3 linked regions of the Ovis aries genome follow. The protein of the gene in region 2 purifies or fractionates together with the protein of the main gene of each other region. This does not show direct contact. Links are inferred from orthologs where the notes say so. Each region holds a gene or a part of one and is shown on either strand. Other genes may lie near its edges.

The links.
Region 1: the proteins of EIF4E (region 2) and HHEX purify together in Homo sapiens (affinity purification with western blotting; 3 studies listed by BioGRID and IntAct, with this or other methods). This does not show direct contact. The link is inferred for Ovis aries from reciprocal best matches to the Homo sapiens genes EIF4E and HHEX.
Region 3: the proteins of EIF4E (region 2) and ANGEL1 purify together in Homo sapiens (affinity purification with mass spectrometry; 3 studies listed by BioGRID and IntAct, counting the BioPlex papers as one, with this or other methods). This does not show direct contact. The link is inferred for Ovis aries from reciprocal best matches to the Homo sapiens genes EIF4E and ANGEL1.

What each region holds. Positions count from the first base shown.
Region 1 is NC_056075.1:13,872,388-13,880,335, reverse strand, and holds the end of HHEX (hematopoietically-expressed homeobox protein HHEX), read right to left. Parts: coding exon 7,928-7,948; intron 5,764-7,927; coding exon 5,585-5,763; intron 5,413-5,584; coding exon 5,362-5,412; intron 3,581-5,361; coding exon 3,362-3,580; 3' UTR 2,482-3,361; downstream 1-2,481. UniProt on the Homo sapiens protein: Recognizes the DNA sequence 5'-ATTAA-3'. Transcriptional repressor. Activator of WNT-mediated transcription in conjunction with CTNNB1.
Region 2 is NC_056059.1:26,264,333-26,272,435, reverse strand, and holds part of EIF4E (eukaryotic translation initiation factor 4E), read right to left. Parts: intron 6,384-8,103; coding exon 6,277-6,383; intron 955-6,276; coding exon 859-954; intron 1-858. UniProt on the Homo sapiens protein: Acts in the cytoplasm to initiate and regulate protein synthesis and is required in the nucleus for export of a subset of mRNAs from the nucleus to the cytoplasm which promotes processes such as RNA capping, processing and splicing.
Region 3 is NC_056060.1:86,230,146-86,238,248, forward strand, and holds part of ANGEL1 (protein angel homolog 1), read right to left. Parts: intron 7,429-8,103; exon of another isoform or gene 7,371-7,428; coding exon of another isoform or gene 7,307-7,370; exon of another isoform or gene 4,889-7,306; intron 4,029-4,888; coding exon 3,450-4,028; intron 2,519-3,449; coding exon 2,292-2,518; intron 1,825-2,291; coding exon 1,755-1,824; intron 1,163-1,754; coding exon 729-1,162; intron 1-728.

The DNA.
Region 1 (7,948 bases), on a different chromosome or scaffold from region 2:
TCAGCTTTCACCCTGAGAAAACCATAAAAAGTAAGAAAAAGAAAACTTATGCAACAGTTCTCTAAATAAAATACTACACAGCAAGCTAGTCATCCCTAAAAGTGATGTTGTTTAAAGAGTCAAAGTACATCATCCAACAAAATCAATATCCTATTAAGTTAGGAAGGGTTCTGAATATCAAAGACTGACAAGCTGAATAACTTAAAGTATAAGTACATGACCCAGGGGATTAATCACACACAGTCATGATGAAATTAGGGCAATTCTTCCAATCATTAACGTTTTGCTTACAAAATGTGCTTTTCTGTTTGTCTTTCTGCTAAATGATAACCGTTTTCAAGTTGAATCTGCTGATAAAAAGAGTTAAAAACAAGACAGGAGTTGTGCTGTAAAGGTCATACATGCTGCTTCAACATGAAATAGCCAAAAGACAAACAAATGAAAAATGCCTGGATTGTAGGAAGAATTTGTAAATATTCACTGGCAATCTGCAGTGGGACACTTTAGAAAATAGTTAATGCCAACCTGTGTCCTGAAAATACTGTACTTCCTTCACGTAACACACTCTGGACTGTTAAAGACATACTCAGATTCAGAATAGGAGCAACCTTCAGAGAACTGGGAATAGCTTTAAACTGGAAAACGGCCTGGTGTCAGGGATTGTCTACTTTAAAATGAGCTTCACTTCTCAGTTTTTCTAGTGTCAATCAATACATAAGCCTTTATTTCTCAGCTTGATAGTCACGATAGTTATTCTCAAGAATAAATATTAACCAGAGGTTATCTCCAGGAGTGAAACACACACACACACACAGATTTCAGGACTGCTCTAATTCAATATTAGGCCCACAAGCCTCTTGTTCTCCCCAAACTCTGATACAGTCAGTCCTCTTTTCAGATGAGACTATGACCTTTGAAACTTTGATGAAACCTGTCAGGCAGGGTCAGGGAGCCTGGAACCTGACTGCTGAGGAGAAAGGAGACCCTCTGGCTGGATGTCTACTCTGGACTCCAACACTGAGAACTGAGTTGGGAATTGGGAGGGTGAGGAAGGGCTGGTAGAGGTCAGGTAGGTCAACTAGACCATCTTCATTCAACAGATGAAGAAACTGAGGCCAAGAACTAAATCTCTCACCGAAATCCTTAAGCTTCCAGGCCAGTGCACACCTGTCTGCTTCAGAACCCAGGACAAATTTTCTCAGAAATTAAAATTCACAGGTAATTCCAAGGGCCTTCCTGCAATCTCAGGAGGCAAGAAGGTGTAACATCCCTAAATGCACTGACTTTTTCACTCTCTTCACCTGAGTGCTCATGTCTGGGGGGCCACAGCCCTGGTCAAGCCAGGCCAGGGGCAGAGTCACTCCTTCACAGGACCTCAGGCCAGAGGCATCCAAGTCCGTAAAAACTAGAGACCTCCAAGGAGCATCAGGCTAGAGGAAGAGATTTCTGGCCTCTCCCCTCAGATCTCCGCTCATCATTTTCCTGGAATGTCAGGAACCTGGTGGCTCAGTTAGGCGAGCAGCTGAACTGGCAATACCTGGGCCAGTCAGAAACCTCTGCCCACCCTTCTTCTCAGCCCCATACCCACCCTCAGCTCAGCACTTCCTTCCTCCCCAGCTCACAATACCTCTTCTTCAGCCCTGCTCCCTTCTCCACCATCGAAATGCCCCCCATCTTCCCTTTCCCTGCTCCTCAAAGCTGCCAGCCTCCTGCTCCCTCAAGGGTGAGGGGAGGAGAAAGGGCGAGGCGGGGATCACGGGTTTCACCTGCTTCTTCCACACAAGAAGTGCCTTAGAACCCCTGACCAGCAGCTTGGACACACCTGGGTACTTGTTAGAGCGCAAATTCCCTGACCCATCCGAGACCTACTCAAATCAGAAAGTCTGGGGATGGGGTGGGCAACGAGCCCCAACAAGGTCCGCGGGAGATTCTGAAGCTCACTGAAGAGTGAGAACCGCTGTCTTGGCACACACTGCTTTTCCCCCATCCCGCCTACCGGCCAGGGGCCCCAGCCCTCTAAGCGGACCCCCAACCTGGACTCGGCCGCCAAGGGATGACGCATGTTGACTCAGGCAGGTCAAGGACGGCGCCCCGCCGGCCCCGCGAGCCAAGCCGGCCCGCGAGCCAAGGTGAATCGATGGCGCTGCGCTGCGGCGGCGGCGCAGCTCCTCTCCCCGCCGCCTGGCGCGTCCAGGGCTCGGGTCCGCAGCGGGCCTTCCCCGCTGCTCCAGACACACTCACACTCAGCCCCCAGCGAACCCAGATGTGGGAAAGGCCCGCATCTACCTTCCAGGTGCTCGCCACCGGTCGCCGCCCTGAACCGCCTTCCCGAGACGCCAGAAGCCGAGAGACACACCGCCAGACGCTCCAGACGCCCCTGCACCCGACCCCGCCCCAGCCCCAGGGCCCAGCCAAGCACCCCAGGCGCTGTAAGATAAGGGGTAGGTTTGGTCAAATCCAAGAATGAGAGGTTCAACGAGGTCAGTCGTCCCACCGACGTATTTATTTTATAGACAAGTTACTCATTTTTAAAAAAAACACACATTTTGGCCATTTTTTTTTTACAGTGAACAATTATATATACACACATTATAAACACTGTTTAATATAAAACATATCTACAATCTACTTACATTTAATTAACCTGCTACTTCTAGTTCATCTGTGATTAAATTTGGTCACTGATGAGTCAGTTTCTCTGCTTGAACTGGACTGTACTATCCCCTTAACACCTTGGTCAAACAGGTACTAAGTGATAGCGCAAAAGAAGCATTTAAAGATTATCAACTGTGTATATCTTTTTGACAAAAAGATACATACATCCCCCAGATAAGAACTCAGAAACAGCTTTGGAGTTAAGGCAATACTATAAGAATGTAATGTATAAGTAAGTAACATTTTCTTTAAAATATTCCAAGGCTGCCTGAATTGTGGGTCCCCTTTCCAAGGCACACCTCTGGATCTGGGATGCTCCTTTGCTTTTCCATTCAGTAGGATGTAGAAACTGATTATAGAAAAGTCATTCAAGAAGCTCCTATTAAAATCTTTAAAGTTATAACTTAAAAATTTAACCAAAAAGTTCAAAATTACTTTTTATAAATAGAAAAAACAATTTTTTTAAAAAAAGGGGGTGAATTTAATCAGGGAAGAGTCCCTTTATCATACAATCTAAAATCGGTATATAAAACTATTTAAGTCAAAAATAAGGTTTCAATGTGAGTTTGTTATTTAGTCAGTGCACCAAATATTTTAGATTTCCAGAATACCAGAAAATTGATTCTCTCATACAGTTTTCAGGTTCATCCAAGGAGATTTCCTGTAGCAAATCCCAGTTTTCCAAACACACCAATGTCAGTGGTCATCATCCAGCATTAAAATAGCCTTTATCGCCCTCGATGTCCACTTCCTGATCAGAATCCTCTGAAATCTCTGATTCAAGGTCTTCCTGGGAGACAGGGGAGGGTGAACACTGAGAGCTATCCAAAGCACCTTTATTCTGTTCACTAGGCAAATCTTGCCTCTGGTCGCAAGAACTGTCCAAACTTTCCAGTTCTTCTTTTTTATTGTTTTGAGGGTTCTCCTAAAAGAAGAGGATGAAATGGAGATTGGTCAGATGATGAAATACGGAGAAATGAGAGATATAAATCAAATGTTTTTTCATCTTCCATCATCTTTTTTAATTTTTAATTTATCAAGTGCTTTCAGGTATAATATTTTATTCAGAAAATACATATTTATGCTTCTTTCTAACTTGGAAGGTAAACTTCCTGTCATATCAGAGAACAATTATACTCTTCTTGCCAGATAAAAACAACTAACCACAAATATAACTAAATGTATTATGTCAAACGAATACTTAACTCCAGCCCAGACCTATGGTATCAAGGTTCTTAAAAGTTTAGGAAGAAAAAGAAATCAGATCACAACAGATACACACTATATTCTTCAAATATTTAAATTGACAAAAGTCTTTTAGACACTTAAAAAATATGAATGCTAAATAATGCATTAAGGATAAAAGTTTCAAAATTACTAGACTGAATTGTTTTTTATGCATTTTCTGGACTAAGTTTACAAACATATACACACATAAACATATATAGCAAGTTACAATCATGGCTAAGAAAAATGCAGAATTGGAAGAATGTTGCCAACTGAAAAGGGAAATAACTATAATTTACTTAAAATCTGGAGGAAATTTCTTGAAAATATTCCCTTATTACACAGGAATGACTATTTTTAAAGTCCTTGATAAACTACCTTTGACCAAGAACTAAATAAGTTAATAAATTTTTAATCCTGTTTTTGTCTAAAATGCACATAAATACTATGGAAAACTATGATATACTGCTAAAGTTTTTTTTTTCCTAAAACAAGACTATAGAATAATAGATTTACCAAGCTTATAATTATGTGGTAAGTTACAAGGCTCAGATATTGAGAGGAAACTCGAAATTTTAAAAACTGCGTTAGAATAATGAAATTATGGGAATTTTATTTTGTTTTAAAGTGTTTTTTGTAACATTGTTTTTAATGAAAAAATTATGATTGCTAAATTTGAAAATGCAAACTGCTTTCAATTTCCCTATTCATTTCAAAAAAATTTTATTTATCATAAACTATATAAACTGGTAAGTGAAAACTTCCGCATTTGTCAGATAACTTAGAAAATATCAGATTAGAACATCAAAAACAAATCTTTAGCTCTAAGTCAACAGAGCTTCTTTAAAAACTGAATTAGCCTTTACTTTTTATCACATATTACGTAACAAGGTCACTGGAAGAAAGACTGTTAGAAAGTTTAAGCTACTTTTCAAACAGGCTTGGGTAGTCTCTTGCTGTTTTTATATTCATTTTAAGAGCTAGAATTAGAAGGAAAATAATTTTTAAACTCTTTGATATTTAATTCTTCTAAAAAACAGTGCAAACAAGACTTAAAGGTGTTTATTTCCTTATATTTACCCTTGAGCTCTGCCTGGTTTTATTATGGCTGTGTAAATAAAAGAAACAATTTTCTCCCAAAGATAACTGCTTAAGTCATTTACTGTCAATTACTTTATCTTTCCTGCGTTAATTAGATAAACAACATATGGGGTTTATAAAACAATTAGCTGGGAGTTTTACTAGCCAGTGTGTGAAAACCCAAGCATAATTGATATAGGAGCTGCATTAGGTGCTTTTAGCATTACTGCCGCCTGAACAACTCATCCTGAATTTCAGCAGGACTATTTGCCTTTTTAATCAAGGTGAAGAGGTTAAATAGTCCCTCAAATGACTTTTGCATACAACCTACAACAGGCCCCGCATTGAAATAACATGGTAAAAATATTTATTTCCATAGAAACAGAACCATTTCAATACCTGTTTTAGTCTTCTCCATTTAGCCCGTCGATTCTGAAACCAGGTTTTGACCTACAGAAAGACAGAAAGAAAACTTGCCACAAGTCCAGAATCCCGAGGGACCTGGGAAGGCGAGGAGAAGTTCAGGAGTCAAACAGCTGCCGGTGGCCTCACTGTCTCCCTTCTGCCCCGGAGACCCCGGCCCCAGGAGACTCCCCGGCCCGCGGCCCGCGAGGCGACTCACCTGCCTCTCGCTAAGCTGCAGCATCTTGGCCAGCCGCTTCCTCTCGGGCGGGGAGAGGTATTTCTGGGTCTCAAACTTCTTCTCCAGCTCGATGGTCTGGTCATTGGAGAACCTCACCTGGCCTCCTTTCCTTTTATGCAGAGGTCTCTGCAAGAAAGGGCTCCAGAGCAGGGGTTTGCCTGCGGGCCAGAGCGTCTTGGTTAGAAGCGGCCCTGAAGCAGCCCGGCCCACCCGTAGACCAGCCTGCACTGGGCGGGGGGTGGGGGGGGGGGGGGGGGGGGTGACAAATAAGGGGAAGGGAGGCTGCTGGGCACTCAATCAGACATATTCACATATACCCGTTGAGCCACGGACCCAACAGGCTCCCACTAATACACATCACACCCGGAGACACAGGAACATCCAAAGGCATACACCTACACTGCACATGCACGAAGGTCACATTCATATGCCCACAGACCCACACAACCATCACACCCAGAGCCAGATACAATCATTTTGATCCCCCAAAGAACATCGACTATAGTGACTGAGCTTAAAAAATACCATAACCTCTTTAACCAGGCGCTCTTGGAATGTATACACAACTAACTTTATTAGCCTAGACCTGCAGAGGGGTCCTCTCCCTTGGTGAACCAAACTTTCCAAAGATCCGTGTGTGCTTTATGTTGGGGGGAGAGGGTCTGTCACACTAGCCAAAGCGTCGCTGACAGGGGCCGGCGAGCTGGCGACCAGGAATGCCCTCCGGCTCAGGCGACGGGTGTCAGTGGAGCTTCCAATCCTGGCCGGAGGGCGCAGGCCCCCCTCTGATTTCACACCCGACCGGCGGGGGCGGCCAGTTAAAGCCACCCCGTGGGCTATGGCAACATTTCCGTCAATGTGTTTCCTGTTGGTCTATCTCGAAAAACCCTTTGCTTCCTCCTGCTTAGTCCCGAGGAAACCCAGGGCGCGCTCTGTGAAAACGTTTGCCCCCAGGCTTGCCGGGCGGAGGGTCTCCCTCCGGCCCCAGCAGGCGAACAGAGCCACACCGGGCCTGCAGCATCATACCTTCGAGGATGGAATTAAACACACAATAACTTAAAAAAAAAAAAAAAAACCACTAAAATATAATTCCCCCGAAAGTCTCTGAGCGATGAGAAAGGAAGGTGGAGAACTGAGCGAGGGGCCCACCCCATAATAATGCTAACACTAAAAAGTCAATTAATTAAAATGTCAGTTATCTCCAGGGTGCCTACAGAAGCTGCCAATAACAGACAGTAGACGTAAAAGCCTGGTGGGCCAAGGCAAGGAGTCGCGTTTTCTGTACCGGAGGCTTCAGAAGACCGGAGGCCCCAAGGGCCACCAGGCGCGGATCACAGGTGGCTCATTTCTTAGGGCGCGCACTGAGGGGATAAGTCCCGCAAACTTCGTTCGGCCAACGTGTCAGCGCTGCCCTCCCTACTCCAAACACGGGTGGGTCAGTCAGTCCGTCTGTCCGTCGGTCTGCAGGTCTGCGCTAAACGCTTTGAAAGCGGGCAATGTTTTTTTTGAGAGATTTTGCTTACGTCAGGATTCAGACTGGTGCAAAACAGCCTCAAAAAAAAAAAAAAAAAAAAAAAGGAAGCAACTGGTTATTTTAGCTGCCATAAAGTCACATCCCACACAGAGGAAATGAACAATATCAGAAAAACGGATCCCGGCTATCAGAAGTCGAGTGTTTCCTGAATTTGTCTGTATTGAGGATGTCGATAAAATAATCAGCAGCGTGCACTACTCCGGGGGAAGGGTCTGCTTCATGCAGCCAGGAAAACACTTAACAGCTTCTGAAACCAGATTTACTCCTATCGAGAACTCAAGATTTCCTGTATGAACGGAAAGGGTCAGGCTCTTTCACTGCACAAGCTTGTTGAACCAGGTCCAGCCCCGTAACCACCCGGGGCCCGACATCTATCCCTGCCCCTCAGGGGCAGGGGGAGCGGCCCGGGCACCTTGGCACTGCCTTCCCGGTCCCTCCAGCTAAGGGAGCCTCCCAAACCCCCGGAAGACAAGCGCCCCCAGGGCTCCTTCGGCCGCCGGCCCCCGCGGCAGCGCCGACGGTCTGGCTCTGGCCCGCGCGCCCCGACGCCTGCAAGGTGCAGGAAAACCAATCTGAGTCATGGTGCGGTCAGCCTGGGCTGCGCGCCGCCGGGGCCCGCGCCTCCGGTCCCCCGCGCACGCCCGGCAGCCGCTTTTCAATCGCTTTTGCCACAACTTTCTATTGCCTCCCCCTCCGCCCCCGCCGCCTCCAGGGCGCTGCCACCTGCCGGGTGGCGCCTTCCTCACCGCCGTCCCGGCTCGGCCCCGCCATGACCCCGGCCGCCTTACCCAGGGGGTCGTGGCGGAGCA
Region 2 (8,103 bases):
TAATTTATTAATTTACAATTTTCTAACCATAATCTATCTGTGTGATACACCCAAGTATTAACATTAAAACACAGGAATCACATCACTGATATGATCCAAAATACACGAACTGAACAAATTAGAATACTTAGATAACTGCTAGGTAACTTACAGCTCTTAAACATGTTTTTAATAAGCTGTATCTTTCATGTTCTCCAACAGTTTCTCCCTAAATATTTTTCAAGCAAATAAGACATAACTAAACTGTTTTAAAGAATCAATATTCTAAAACTTCTTGCACAGAACTTTATAGCTCTAAATTAAATTATATAGCTAAATCTGAAACAAAATCTCAAAAATATTTCAAGTATTCTTAAGTTTTATTTACAAAGTGCAATAAAATTATCTATCATCACAGATACTGTCATTCTTTGACAAACCCTGATTTATGAGCAGTTCAGCCTTTGAAATCTCAGAATCTTTATCACAGGAAATCCACAGTTTATACAAAAAAGAATCTGCAGAAATGCTAAGAAAAGCATTCTTTTCCTAAGAAAGCTCTGGAATAAAAATAGAGCAAATTTGCCTAGGTAACCAAGAAAGGGGACAAGGTCCTAAAAGTTGTCAGAAGTTCCAGTGACAATAAAGGATTCTCAATGAATGATATCTTAGGACAAGGAATAGAATAGGCAGAGCTAAATGATGACAAGATGGAAGCTTTCTAAAACTGTTGAGAAATAATCACCAATTCTAACAGTTGTGAAATGATGAACAAGCAAAAAAGTAAATATCAACTGTTCACCTTACCCTTCTTTTTGCGAATACAACTTAAAATAAAAATGTACACAATAAAACAAACATCCTAAAATGGTTACTTACGCCCAAAAGTCTTCAACAGTATCAAACTTAGAGATCAATCGAAGGTTTGCTTGCCAAGTTTTGCTTTTATCATTTTTAAAAAACCAGAGTGCCCATCTAAAAAACAGAAAGTCAGTGTCAACAGAAGTTTCACATCCATGTTCAAAGCAGCAGTGAGTTCACTTATTAATAAAAATGTTGTCTGAAGAGTTTTCAAGTAGACATATATTTTATAACTTCATGATTAATGCTTGATAATTTCAGACATATAAAATGAGATGCATTTCAACACCTACCTGGTAATTTGTATTTGCCAACCCGTGATCAAGGAAAAAAATATTTTGAAAAAGCAAAGGCAGAAAAACTACTAAACATACAGTATCAAGTACTGTACCCTGGATTTCTAAAACTAATTCAGTCTTTCCTGAAAAAATAAAAAAACAGAACTACCATTTGATCCAGCAATTTCACTTCTGGATATTATCTGAAAAAATGAAAATACTAACTTGAAAAAGATATATGAATTCCCATGATTAGTACAGCTTTACAAGAGCTTAAGATACAGAAGCAACTTAAATGTTCATCAAGGAGTGAAAAAAGAAAATATGTATGTATGTATGAATGTGTATATTCAATGGATTATTCAGTCATAAAAGAGAAGGAAATTTTGCTATTTCCAACATGGATGGACCATAGGACTTTGTAACAAGTTAAATAAATCACACACTGGACAGGAAAAGCAAATACTATATGATTTTGCTTATACATGAAATCTAAAAAAAACTTTAAAAAAGGAGAAAAACCCACCCCAAGCTCACTGATACAGAGAACAGACTGGTGGTTCCCAGAGGCAAAGGGGTGAGGAAATGCATGAAGGGGGTCAAGTGGAACAAACTTCCAGTTATAAAATAAATCATGGGGATGCAACGTACAACAGAGTAAATACAGTTCATAACACTGCACTGCAAATGTGAAAGTTGTGAAGAGCCTAAATCTTAAAAGCGCTCATTATAAGAAAATATATTATAAGTATGTATTGTGATAGATGTTGATTATGATCATTTCACAATACATACAAATACTGAATCACTGTGCTGTACATTTGAAATTGTTACACTTCAACTGAAAATAATAAAATTCCATTCCATTAAAAAAAAATTGCAGCCATTAAAGATTTATTCTAGAAAATGACTGGATGACTAAGCAAAAATATCTGTACAATAACGTTCTTAAATTTGGAAAACTGGAAACATCATAAGTGCCTATCAACAGTTCTAGAATGTGGTTTACGAATCCCCTTAGGCATCTTAAGACCCTTTCAGGAGCACTGATGAGTAAAAACTATTTCATAAAAGTCCTAAGATATTTTATTTTTCACTGTGTTAACATGTTCACTGATGATGCAAAAACAACAGTAAACCTAGCAGTGATGTACATAACAAGAATCATACAGTGGCACCCATGTCTACCATTTGTCACTGTTCCTGTATTATAATCAACTCTCAGAAGAGTAACTGCCAGTTTCTTGTAAGAATGCCACTGATGAAGCAGTAATAAAATACTTGTTTTATTAAATTTCAATCTGTGCACATGTTTTTTCTGCACAAAAAATACTTCTGCATACCAAAGACAATGCTTAGGCATTGAGTTGTGAGGAGAACTAGTCGCTTTCTCAAAGAACACCACTTTTACTTGGAAGAATAGGCTGATCAATCATGGTTACGTCTTGAAAAATGAACAGAGTGAGCATGTAGCTAAAATTTAAGCTTTCAGGAGAAAAATCAGAATTTTGGAAAGCCTGCAGGTGTCACTGAGCATGACAATTTAACAAAACTTGGGTATATTTCTGGGACATTTAGTAATGATAATGTTATTGTTTTGATATCATATAATAAAAAATGCCAATATTAAGGTCTACAGACTCACTGAACCAGTATTTTCTAAATGACCAGTGGTATTCATGAGTGAAGAAGGATATATATATTTCAAATGCAAGACAGATCAATGGATTTTAAAGCAACAGAGTAGAAAAAAGTTCTTAGATGTGGTTTCAGATTCTTTATTGCAACTAACCTGCAAGAAACCTAGTATCAAAGGAAGGAGATATTCATAATTATAAAAGGCCATTAAAATTTCTCCTTTTCCAACCATGGTATATTTGAGGTCATATTTTATCCTTAAACTTCCTCTGAAACAACGTATCTCCAAAGACTTGAAAATGCAGAACCAGCTATGAAAACCTAGCTGATTTCTATTAAGCCAGGCACTTGAACATATTTACAAAAACGCTGTTCTTCTCATTATGTATTTTTTATTTTGAATAAATTTTTTCCATAAAAATCATTTACATTAAAATGCAATGGGTTAAGTACATATGTAATTTTATATTTTTTGAGATTTTCTAATATAGCAAATGAAAATAGATGAAAATCTATATAACCTGTAAAACACTGTGGAATCCTCAATAATTTTTAAGAATGTAAAGGGGTCATGAGCCCAAAGAAGTGAGATTTAAATAATTACAATAAATAATTTTAAAAATATAATAAACATAATATATACATGCAAGAAGACTTCTAGGCCACTATTAAATGTGTTAATTGTGTGGGTTAAAAAAAAAAAAGGATAAATATGTGGGTAAAATTCTCTTAAGACTGACATGAAACCCAGAAACCATGGAGGAAAGTTGGCATTTGATTATATGAAAATAAAAAAACCTTTAAAATAACACAACTCTTTAGACAATGTTAAAAGACAAATGATTTGGAAGTGTATTTCAACCTAATCCCCCCTTGGATCGGTTAGCATCCCTAATGTACAATGCTTAGAAATAAACTTGAAAAGATAACCAAAAAGAAAATAACAGACAATAAGAACTGAACAGACTTCTCACAGGTAAAAACACAAATAAGCAATTGTCTTGAACAAAACTGTTTGAAACTTCAATAGAAGAAATGCACATTCAAAACAATAAGACATTGTTTTCGCAAATTAGGCTAGAACCAACCTGACAGGCAATTAAATTTAAAAGACTGACGGTACCAGTTGGCAAGGATGTAGAAATCAGTAAGTCTAAGCAGATAAAGGAGGATAATTTGGCAGTGTCTACAAAGGTAGATAATGAGCAGTCTTAAACCTAAGAACTCGGAAATTTTACCATATAGATATACCACTATATTCACACAAGTGCAAAAAGAAAAAAAAAAAAAGGATGCATACATTAGTACTGTTTGTAAATTTAAAAACTCTGCATACTCATTAATGTAAGCCTGATAAAATATGACTGTATATTCATTTAAAACAAAGCTGTGGATTAAAATAAAGACTTAATAGTATGGCAATCTGCAATCTGTATAGATTAAAAAAGTATATATATGTACATTGAAAGGTTTTGGAAAAATACAAACCAAATTTTTAACAGACTATTTTGGGGAGTGGAGCAAAACAAAATGAGGAAGAAGGTATCAGGGAAAAACAGAGAACTTAAAACTTTGTATACTTAGAGCCTCAATGATTTAATCGTTCTTATAATACGATAGTGGTTTTTATTTTAAAGAAAACATAATTCCTTACAAAATTATTTACAAAAAGTAAATAATGAAGAAATCACCAAAATCAGAACCAAAAATGTCTTAGAACAGTTTTCAATGTGATGTTATTTTACACAAGAAATAAGAAATTATAGAGAAATTAAAATCTTCACAGACTTCATTTTAGGATTTAATCAGTTTGTTCACTGATAAGGGCACCTTTCAGGAATCTCAGATTTCATCTTAAGCTATGACGGATATATGCCTTGATCTCCCACAATAACAGCAACATGAAGAACTGTGTTCACAGAGAGAAAACAGTGAGCTTTTTATATGATACCACTGAAAAGATGGGGGGAAAATACTTTAAAGGTTTTAGTACTGCTGCTAGGATGAACTGTATAAAACTGCCACTCATCAATTGTCCAACTTAGTATTAGTTTGGCACAATCTTTCCTGAGAAAGAATTTTTTCCTTTTATCAACTATTCGACCTTCGGTATTTCACACATTGGCTGACAATCCACAGTATCTAGAGAACTGACTTGTTCCTCCCTGGAGGGTACGCTGAATCACCCACCTTCTATGAAAAAACTACTAAAGCATATTTGGACTATTACTTCAGAAGGTCTACAATGATAATGAAGAAAAAAAAAGGACATAAAGGAACAACACACTTTTCAGATAAATGAAACCTAATTATAGACTTATAGGGTCTGGGAGAGGGGGAATGAAAGGAATTACAGATCCTTGAAAGTTAATTTATCTAATTTACTTTCCTCCAGATTCTTACAATGTTTCTAAGTGTTCCCACCATCAGCTCTCAGTGAATTAAAGTTAAGTTTTATCAGATAAACAAGAAAGATAATTAAGTAAAAGCACATACTGGGAAGTGGTAGGGTGGAGATAGGAAAAAGCATATACTGAAGTATTAAACTACTACATTGCAACTATGAAAACTTAACTCATCCTAAACTCTCTTTTCCTCTTCTAAACTTCTCTTAAAATACAAACCAACCAATATCCAGACTCCACATACCCTAGGTTCTTTCTTCTTCACAGACCATCTCAACTTTATCCTTCAAATTGTCTATTCCTGCTCTATACATTTGTATATTTCTATTCACTCTTCAAACTACACCAATCTTTTTCTATCATCTACTCTACTAACTTTCTCCAGTGTTAGCAAAGACTTATTGTTCAATCCAATGAATATTTGACCTTTTTGGGGCATATATGCTGTACCTTGTCCTTAAACCATTTTCTTGGTTTCCATGACTAACACTCTGCCCTAGTTTATGCAGTATATATGTCTATACTCTTCCACAGGCATTCTTAAAAAATTTTATTAAAGTACAGTTGATTTACAATGTTATGGTAATTTCTGCTGTACAGCAAAGTGACTTAGCTATACATCTGTATATATATTTTCATATTCTTCTCCATTATGGTTTATCATAGGATATTAACTATATAGTCCTCTGGGCTATACAGTAGGACCTTGTTGTTTATCCACTCTCTCTATATAATAATTTGCATCTGTTAACTCCAAACTACCAGTTCATCCCTGCCCAACCCCCTCTCTCTTTGCACCACGTCTGTTATCTTCATAGCCATTCTTACCCAAAAAAAATCCCCATGTGCTAATATTCCAAGCCTCTGTTGTGAGTCAGATTCACTTAAGAGAACTCATTTACTCCTATGGTTTCAACTACCATTCAAAGTTACACTTCCTGAGCGCAAGATTCACACATAAAACTGCTTGCCAGATGTGGGTCATCAAAGTGAAAATGGAATCCTCAACCTAACATACCTAAAACCAGTCTATTCTAACCTTCCCCTCCAAACCTGTCCCATTCACCATTTATGTTGTTGCCCAAGTCAAAAAATCTATGTGTCAGAAAGCTTACCTGTTCTGTAAAGGATGTTTAATATAGTGTTCTGGGTTAGCAACCTCCTGATTGGATTCTGTTTTCTCTTCTTCTGTAGGCGGGGGATTTGGAGTAGGGGTGGTTTCCTAGTGGAAAATAATTAAACATTATAAACTTCTTAACATGAAGAAATAACATTAAGAAATTTATTTGTACATTTTTATTGAAATATAGTTAATTTACAATGTTGTGAAAACTTAATCTCTATGACAGCAATACTCTAAATAAATCTTAACCAATACTGTCCATAACATTTTTTTTAAAGAATGAATTATAGGAGAAGCATTTGATAAAGTAGACCACTAGCCAAACTCTAAGAAAAGCACTAGACTCTTCTAGCATCTCTTCATTAAGAGCAAAATGTTTCTCAAATTTAAAATATATATTGTTATCTTCCAATTACAAATTTAACATAAGATTGTTAGACACCATGGAAAATAGGAGAATGAAGTATCTTTAACATCCCATTAAAGTGCTGTGCATGGCAGGGGTGGTTAGTGGGAAGGGCCAGTTCAACTAAAGTTTGGAGAGCATAATTAACTATATTACATGACACACAAAAAATCTTTATAAAATGAGTAAGGCAATACTACACAGATCCTTGCCTTCATGTCACACTGTTATGATATATGGTAACTTTATAAAGTTGAGCAACTTCTGTCATTTTCAAACGATCCTAAGGAAAAAAGCTGGACACCAGCTTGAATTGAAATCTTCTAAATCGGGAAAGGTGTACATCAAGGCTGTATATTGCCATCTTGCTTATTTAACTTATATGCAGAGTACATCATGAGAAACACCAGGCTGGATAAGTACAGCTGGAATCAAGATTGCTGGGAGAAATATCAGTAACTTCAGATATGCAGATGACACCACCCTTATGGCAGAAAGTGAAGAACTAAAGAGCCTCTTGATGAAAGTGAAAGAGGAGAGTTTAAAAGTTGGCTTGAAACTCAACATTCAGAAAAATAAGGTCATGGCATCCAGTCCCATCACTTCATGGCAAACAGATGTGGAAACAGCAAGAGACTTTATTTTTCTGGGCTCCAAAATCACTGCAGATGGTAACTGCAGCCATGAAATTAAAAGATGCTTGCTCCTTGAAAGAGAAGTTATGACCAACCTACACAGCATATTAAAAAGCAAAGACATTCCTTTGCCAACAAAGGTCCGTCTAGTCAAGGCTATCGTTTTTCCAGTGGTCATGGATGTGAGAGTTGGACTATAAAGAAAGCTGAGCGCCAAAGAATTGATGCTTTTGAACTGCTGGAGAAGACTTGAGAGTCCCTTGGACTGCAAGGAGATCCAACCAGTCCATCCTAAAGGAGATCAGTCCTGAATATTCACTGGAAGGACTGATGCTGAAGCTGAAACTCCAATACTTTGGCCACCTGATGTGGAGAACTGACTCATTTGAAAAGACCCTAATGCTGGGAAAGGTTGAAGGCGGGAGAAGGGGATGACAGAGGATGAAATGGTTGGATGGCATCACCGACTCAATGGACATGAGTCTGAGTAGACTCCGGGAGTTGGTGATGGACAGAGGCCTGGCGTGCTGCAGTCCATGGGGTCGCAAAAAGTTGGACACAACTGAGCTACTGAACTGAACTGAAACACAGTTATCATCATCATTTAAAAATGTCATGGAAAAATGGAGCCTGAGAATAATGCATATTCCCCACATTAACCTATGCAACTCTTCACCCTACTGTAAATTGGCACCAACAAAAAGATTGCTAAGAAAAGGGACCAGAAGCTGAAACAAGTTGATACAAAAGAAGAGGGCACTGCAACAAGTGTCTGAAT
Region 3 (8,103 bases), on a different chromosome or scaffold from region 2:
AGCAGTCTCAGCACAGTACTGGAGGGCAAGAGCCCTGGGGCCAGACCACCTGATTACAAATCCTGGCTCCACCACTAAGGACCTGCACAAACTATAGAGAGTAAATGACCTAACTTTCTCTATGCCTTGAGTTTCTCACTTATAAAATAGAAGCAATGATAGAATTTGTGGAAACTAATGAGTTAACGTAGGTAAAGTGCTTAAAATAGCATCTGGCAGAGTTAGTGATTAATAAATAGAGACTATGACAGTTACATCACCAGAGCAGTTTAGGTAGCACTGCAAATGCACAGAAAATGACCTGGAAGAACAGCACCAAACTCTGAACAGTTATTACGAGACTCTAAGGGGAGACGTGGGAAATGCAGGTAATAAAGCGGGCTTTGGTCTTAAGCCCGCTTTATCACCTCCATTTCCCACGTCTCCCCTTTGAGTCACGTAATAATGCTTGAATCCTTATAGAGAGGTACTTGTGTATATCTGTGCATTTACTTATGTACTTGTAAACTAAACATAAATTAATGATAAACCCGAAAGGATTCCAGGATACCAAAGGCACTCACGAGCTCCCAACTTCCAGGTATGGGTACCAGAGCTATCAACAGGACACGAGAAAGCAGGAGGGAGGCAGCACAGGAGTCCCCTGGGTCCCTGCCACAGAAGCAGCCCTGCATGCCACACCCCAATCCCCCTGTAAGTCAAGCCAGCAGTGGCCGCTCCCATCTCACCTTCCAGGCTGGCATCCCGTGGTACTGGAGCTCTCCGTCCCTGATGAAGTTGTAGAGAGGTGAGTCGGGGACGGAGTTCAGGTCCCCACACAGGACGATGGGGCAGTGGCTGCCGTCTGACAGCCTGGCCACCTTGTCCACTTCGGCCAGGAGAATGGCCATCTGGGCCAGCTTGACATCGCCCCGCCGTGGGTTGTACAGGACGTGGGTATTTGCCACACATAAGGGGGCCACCGAGACTTGCCCCAGACCTTCTGGGACCAGTGGCTGCAGCAGCAACACTAAGCCCACGTTGTCCCGATTGAGGAGCTCCAAGCCAGGCCGAAAGTACTCCACGGGGCTGGCGCAGAGCAGACGGAATCTCGTGGGCTTGTAGCAGACAGCACAGCCATCTGTCTTACACCCGGTCCTCCTCTTGTAGAAACAGGTAAAGCCTGCAAGGAACACCCGGCCAAGGAGATCGGTCAGAGTCCTTGAACCCTGCATCCCTCCAACCAATGCCAGCAGCCCAGGTGTGTGTGCCCAGTGCACCGCTCCTGCTGCTCAACACGGGGGAGTCTGTGTCCTGACACATCCCTGGGTTCTGCAGAGGTTCCCTTACAGCGGTAACCAGATGGCTGTGCAGCTAGAAGGGGAAGGAGGGACAGAAGGGTGTGATAGGAAAAGCATGGACTCCGGGGTAAGACAAGTTGGAGTCCAGGCTCCACAAGCTATGAGCTTTTTTATTTATAGCTTTGTGACCTTTGAGCTAGTCAGTCAAATTTTCTGAATCTCAGTCTCCTCCCTATAAAACGGGGGTAATAATTTCAGCCTCAGAGAGTTGGTAAATAGATGTAAATAAATGGCAATGTATGTCAGAACCACTTTAAAACTTCAGGACTCTTGTTTTTCTTCTTACTCCACACGAGGGAGCTAGCTCACAGGTGAGAGGGTTCACTGAGATGAAAGAAGAGATGGTGTGTTCAATAGAGGGCAGACAGGGTGGAAGGAAAAAAGCCTGGCACACGTGCCAAGGAGCGGCATTACCCATCATTCTCAGAGAGGGCTCCAGCTGCTCCCAGTAATGATCTTCCTGGACTTCCTGGAGACACAAGATCTGGGGAAACGACACAGAGACCAGTCACTCCAGGGTAACGGAGGGCACCGCAGTGTGACTCCCACCCCAGGAGCGGACGCTGAAGCCACGTGGGAAGCTGCTGTGGGTCTCAGGCTGGGCCACACTGACACTTCCTCTGGGGGCTGACTCTTCCCAGACTGCCACTCCAGCAAAGAACAGGCCCCGAGTGAAGCTGGATTTTCCTGCTCCTTGAATCCCTCAAGTCTTCTTCCCTGCCTAAAGGTGCTAGCGAGGGTGTACCTATGGAGAGGCATCTTAGTATCTGCCCAAAACTCATTTATACCAGGCAGCAAGTTCCCATCCTAAGCCGGACTCTAATCACATGAACAACTGTGGGTGAACTCATTTCTCTAAGGGCACAGGGAAACAGCCAGGGTCCGAAGCAAATGCAAGATGGCACACCCCCATCCATCCCACCCTCCCCGCCCGCCCCCGCCTTCGCTTACATCCGGGTCCCAGTGCTGGAATTCCTGCATGAGATTCGCAAAGCGATAGTTCCAGTTGAGGATGTCTGGGTGGCAATGCAAATAGAGCTCGGAGCTCTGCTGCATCAGGTCCTGGGCCAGGATATTATAGGACATCAGAGTGAACTGGAACTGAGGGCCATCCCCTGCTTCCAGGCCCTGAACATCTGGCTGAGTGGAGAAATCCTCCCATTCTCGCCACAAGATTTCTGCAAAGGGGTTGGGAAGAAGAGGTCCATGGTTGAGTCCATGCTATCCACAGGGCCTACCATCTCTACTCTGGCCCAGCGATACTGTGACAAAGTTCCCTTTCTCATTTTCCCTGTCATCCGTCCCTTTCTGTGGTGATCTGAACAACACTCTAAGGACAGCCTCAGACCAGAGAGTAAGCGCCACAAAGCCAGAGACAATCTTGGCCTGTTCACCACTGTATCCCTAGTACCTGGCTTAGTACCTGGTACTTAGTCCACTAAAATTCACTAAACATGGCCAGCAACTCCTCACTTTTGATAAAGCCATTGGTCTCCAGGGAATCACTCAGATGAATGCGCTTAACAGTCATCTGAGATTAAAGACATTTCTAGAGTAGTCTCAGCCTTGGCTGTTTTCTGACCTCTACACCTGGAAGGGCCTACAGAACCAGAAACTGTAATGTGTCCCCTATATCCCCTAGAGCAGGGAGCTAGCTGTAGAGTGGACTGCAAACCTATGTGAGGCACAGCCTCATTCTCCAGATTTTCATGGAAGCCCAATATGTAACACAGATAAAAATGGAGTTATCCTGTTTGGGGCAGAGAAAGCGAAATCCCTGAGAGCTCTCCACCCTTACCCCAGGTTCCTCCAGACAACCAGTAACACAGAGAATGAGAGCTAGGGTCTGCTTTCAGTTCTACCACTACCTAGCTATGTGACTTTCGGCATGTCCTGCCACCTCTCCGAGCCTTGATGACTCCATCTCAAAAGGCCACAGGGCTAGATGAAATGACCTCTAAGGCCCCTCTGGATTTGCCGCTGCAAGTCTCAGAAAATCAGAATGTGGCGGCAGAGCTCTACACAAAAGGGCCTTCTCTTTAGCAACGGCTTTGCCCACCTCCGAGACGACCGCTGCCCCGGCTCGCTCAACCAGCTGTCAAGACTCACCATGATATGGGATTTCCACTGGGGGAGGCTGAAGCTGCCCCAGACCCTCAAAGGGCCAGACGGCAGCCTCTTCCTGGGGCACACGCTCCGGTGCGATGCTCCAGGCCACCATCGCAGGGTCCTCATCCCACTGTTCTGTGGCCAGCGCACCCATGGGGAGGACGGCACAGTCTGTGTACTGGGGGCCGGTCTGCACGGGCACTGCTGCCCACATTGGGCCCTCGACCTCCGGCAGCAGCTCCTCCTCTCCTAGCACCTCAGGAAAAGGCTCCTCCAGGTTCTCTGCTGCCCGCAGGTCACTCAGCTGCCTGCTGGACCACTTGTCCTCAGGAGCAGCATCCTGTTCTCCAGGATTATCCATCAGGAGGGCCAGGCTGCTCTCGGCGAGTCCCTTATCTACAAGGGGACCATCGCTCACAGTTGACAGCACCTGGCTCGACCCTTCTTCCCGCCACTGCTGCAGCAGGCCCTCACACTCCTCCTGGTCGGGGCCCCGAGGGGCCATGGCAAAGTCGCCTTCTACCTGGGAGGACGAGCTCTTCGCCAGGAGGACATTTTTTCGACATGTGAAGAAAGCATCTAAAAAGAAAGCCAAAATACCATGTTATAAGATGATGGCATCATTCAACTCACACTCCTCTCTCAACTTCTGATATAAGTCTCGTGTGCGTGCATGCTCAGTCGCTTCAGTAGTGTCCGACTCTTTGCAACCCTATGGACTGTAGCCCGCCAGGCTCCTCTGTCCATGGGATTCTCCAGGCAAGAATACTGGAGCAGGTTGCCACGCCCTCCTCCAGGGGATCTTCCTGACCCAGGGACTGAACCTGGGTCTCCTGCACTGCAGGCAGATTCTTTACCACTGAGCCACAAGAAAGCCAGTAAGTCCCATACAAGCAAGAATCATATCCACCGTGCTCACCATTGTATCATCACTGAACCTGCCTGTTTTAGGGTCTGGAACATAATCATCACCAGAGCCAAGTGCTTACTATGTGTCAGGCACTGTTCTAAGGACTTTACAAGTATTAACTAATTTACATGGTAGGGATCTGATAAATACTCTGTGCGTGAATGAAAGAATGGCTATCCCATATAATCGAGAACAGAGATGATCACATATAACCACGCTCCTTTTGTCTGGAGGCTAAGAATCCTATTAACTTCAACTCTCTGGTTCTAAGAGCCACATGACACTGGAACCAGCACTTGACCATAATCATAACTGTGGGTTGTGGCCCAGCACCGAAATGAACAAAACTGTGTGACCTTAGACAATGCCCCTAGTGAGATGGACTTACTCTTGACTGTAAAATGAGGACGAGAGAACTGTGAATTGGATAATCCCCAAGAGCTTTTCTAGTTCTATAAATTTCCCCGTCTATGAATGCATTCCAACAGAAAGTAGACAAAAAGGGTGTCTCAAAATCTGGACAATCTACCTTTTAGCAAAGGCCTGGGGTCCTCTTCTCAAAGCTATTTATTCTACTCATAAATCTTCACAAATATCATTATCAGCTTTCCCATTCCATAGCGCTCTGCTGCTGCTAAGTCGCTTCAGTTGTGTCCAACTCTGTGCGACCCCATAGACGGCAGCCCACCAGGCTCCCCCGTCCCTGGGATTCTCCAGGCAAGAACACTGGAGTGGGTTGCCATTTCCTTCTCCAATGCATGAAAGTGAAAAGTGAAAGTGAAGTGGCTCAGTCGTGTCCGAGTCTTCACAACCCCATGGACTGCAGCCCACCAAGCTCCTCCGTCCATGGGATTTTCCAGGCAAGAGTACTGGAGTGGTGAGCCATTGCCTTCTAGAGGCTGCAAATCAGAAGGTGCCAACAACTCAGCAAGAGATAGCCGCCACCTCTCTGCTACAGCAGCCACAATGACAGCCAACAGGCAAAAGAAAGTAGGTGGGAAAAACTCTAAAATTAGAGGCCCCCAAAATCCAAGCACAGTACTGTGGTGCAGACAAAACATCCCCCAACCAACACACACTAAGTCACTTGTTTATATCACCCAAGTGACATGGATGATGTCCCTCCATCACTGGAGACGCATTTCATCAGTTCCTTTTTTTCAGGCAAGAAAAACTTCAAAATGGCTCAAATGTTGAAAGACACTCTTATTTATGGCCTGTGTGGATTTAGATCCCTCAAACCTCAAAGTGGTGATTCTGCCCTCAAAGAACATTTCCACATCGTCTGGAGGAACAGTGGTCGTCCCAACTGTGGGGACGCTACTGGCATCTAGTGGTTACAGGATAAAGAGATTGTGAGCATCCTGCAGTGAGAGACAGCTCCACAAGGAACTACCAAATATCAATAGTACTGAGAGTGGGAAACTCTGCTTTAAACCTATGTGCTGGGTTGCTGGTTTTAGTCTCAGGGACTCGCTAATTCACTGCCCTTTGAAACATCCTCTATTTATACCAAATGGCAAAAGTTCTTTGATTTATATGTGTGAGGTTACTAGTTTTCAAATTTAGGTTTTGATTGGTGGTGGTTTGTGTTTTTCAGCAGAATTTTCATTCAAGATAGAAAATCTGTAGAAACCAAATACACAAATAGGACTACGTTAATAGGTGTGTACCTATGGATGGGGGGAGGCCCACACCTATGGGTGGGAGGGCAGCCAAAACTCTGGCTACTGGTCAAGAAACCTCTGGACTAGAGGTCACTAAGTATAGGTCACTAAGGCTGCCATTATGAACAGTGGCAAAGCTCAAGAAATAGCAGCAACATGGCTAGAGGAATATGCGATGGTTCTCTGAAAGCAATGCCTTCTGTGGAGTTCCTCATTTCTAAGGAGTATGTATACACAAAACATTCTCGGATTCCTGAACTGAGTGCCTACTATAGTCTGGGTAGTATGTTAGCAGTAGATACAGTGAGCATAACAGACAGCCCTGCCTTCCTGGAGCCTGCATTCTAGTGCGCAGATACAAACATACATGTACATACTTTAAGTGTTTTATATGAAATATGAAGTAACAGATATTACACACACAAAATGTAAAATTCCAAAAAGGAAAAGCGCAGAATGCACACAGCTGGACCTATTTCTAAGAAATAGAAATTACTCTATTCTATTCTAAAACTCCTTCTTAGTCTGTCCTGTCCCCTAAAATGCCAGAGAGAAGTCCAGGAGTGCTGTGCGATCTCCGAGCGGAACGGATGGTCTCTTAAGAACAAGAACCTCGGAAAAGTCAAAGGCCAGGAATGGGGTGCGCGGGCAAACCCCGGCAAAGTTAAACAGTAACTCTTCTCCAGGCCGCCGCTGAGCACTGCCTCCACCCACGACATGTCTAAGCGCACGGAACAACTGTTTCAAAGATGAGGTTTCAACGTGTCTCTGGATTCTGCTGTTTTTCAACCAAACACTCCGCAGAGAGGCAGCTCGGAAAGGCGACTGTGGAGTCGACCCAGGGGAAGACAAAGCAAGTCCAGGTCTTCAGTCCACAGACCCCTAAAGGCCGAAGGGCCCCTGTCCACGGAGAATTCGGGCACTCGCCTCGGCCCCCAAGGGGGCCAACCCTCCCTGACCCCCCGAGAAGTGACTCAGCGGGCCCCGGAGCCTCTCCGCGCCGGCGGGGCCAGAAAGTGGGGGAGAGGGGGGGCTCCGCCCCTCCCCCGGCAGCCTCCACGCTGTAACTGCGGCCCGACGCCTCCAGGCCACCGGCGTGAGGAGGTGGGTGGGGGGGTGCCGCCCACGAGGGTCGCCGGCCAGGCCTGGGCCTCGCGGAGTCCAGGATAAACCGGTCGTGAGGCCGGCCGCGCAACGCACGCCGCCCAAGACCCCGCGGGGGCCCCGCCAAGGCAGGCCCGGAGGCTTGGCACCCGCCCTTCAGGACGCGGGGCCGGTACCTGAGAGGGCGCGGAAAAGGCGCGCGGCCGGCAGCAGCAGGTAACACAGACACGACGCGATCATGGCCGGCCGCCCGCGCCCGCCGCCCCTTCTCTCCGTCACGGCGAGCCGGTCTCCCTCCGCTAGCCCTGCCCCCGGCTCCGCCCCGCTCCCGGGCCCGCCCCGCCCCTCCGGCTCCGCGCCCCGCCTCCCCGGCTCCGCCCGCCTCCCCGGCCTTGCTCACTTGACCCAGCTGCGCTTCAACAACAACTTTATTGGGCACGCAGGGCCAAGATTGGGAGACAGTTCCCAAGGCAACCGAGCGGAGCCTGCAGGGCCTGGCTGCCGGCAGCGGCGGCGGCACCAGGTGCCCCGGCATTTAACATTAAACCCCTCCTTGCAGGCCCCGTAGTGTTATTACTAGTCCACGGTTTTATTCCCACTTCTGCCGCTTGACTGGGTGTCCACCTTGGGTACGCCACCTAACCATTCCTTCCATCGGTTACCACGTCTGTAAAATGAGGGGCTAGACTTTGTCTCTTTAAGGTCTCACCCAGCATGACTTCTGTGATCTTACCCTTCTCAGCTTACATTGGAGACAGAAAACTCTTCCTCATTTTTCTCCTTTTCTTAACTCTCTTCCCCAGCTTAGATTTAGGTCACACATCAAGTCCATTCCTTGCTTCAGCACATACGATTTTGTCTCCTGCCTCATCCTGTTCCAAAGGGGCCCTTTCCCCCGTAATTTTGAAGAAAGGGGGTGTCCCACTGGTAAGGGAGCCAAAAAGGGAGGTGGGAACCCTCCACAAAGGCAACT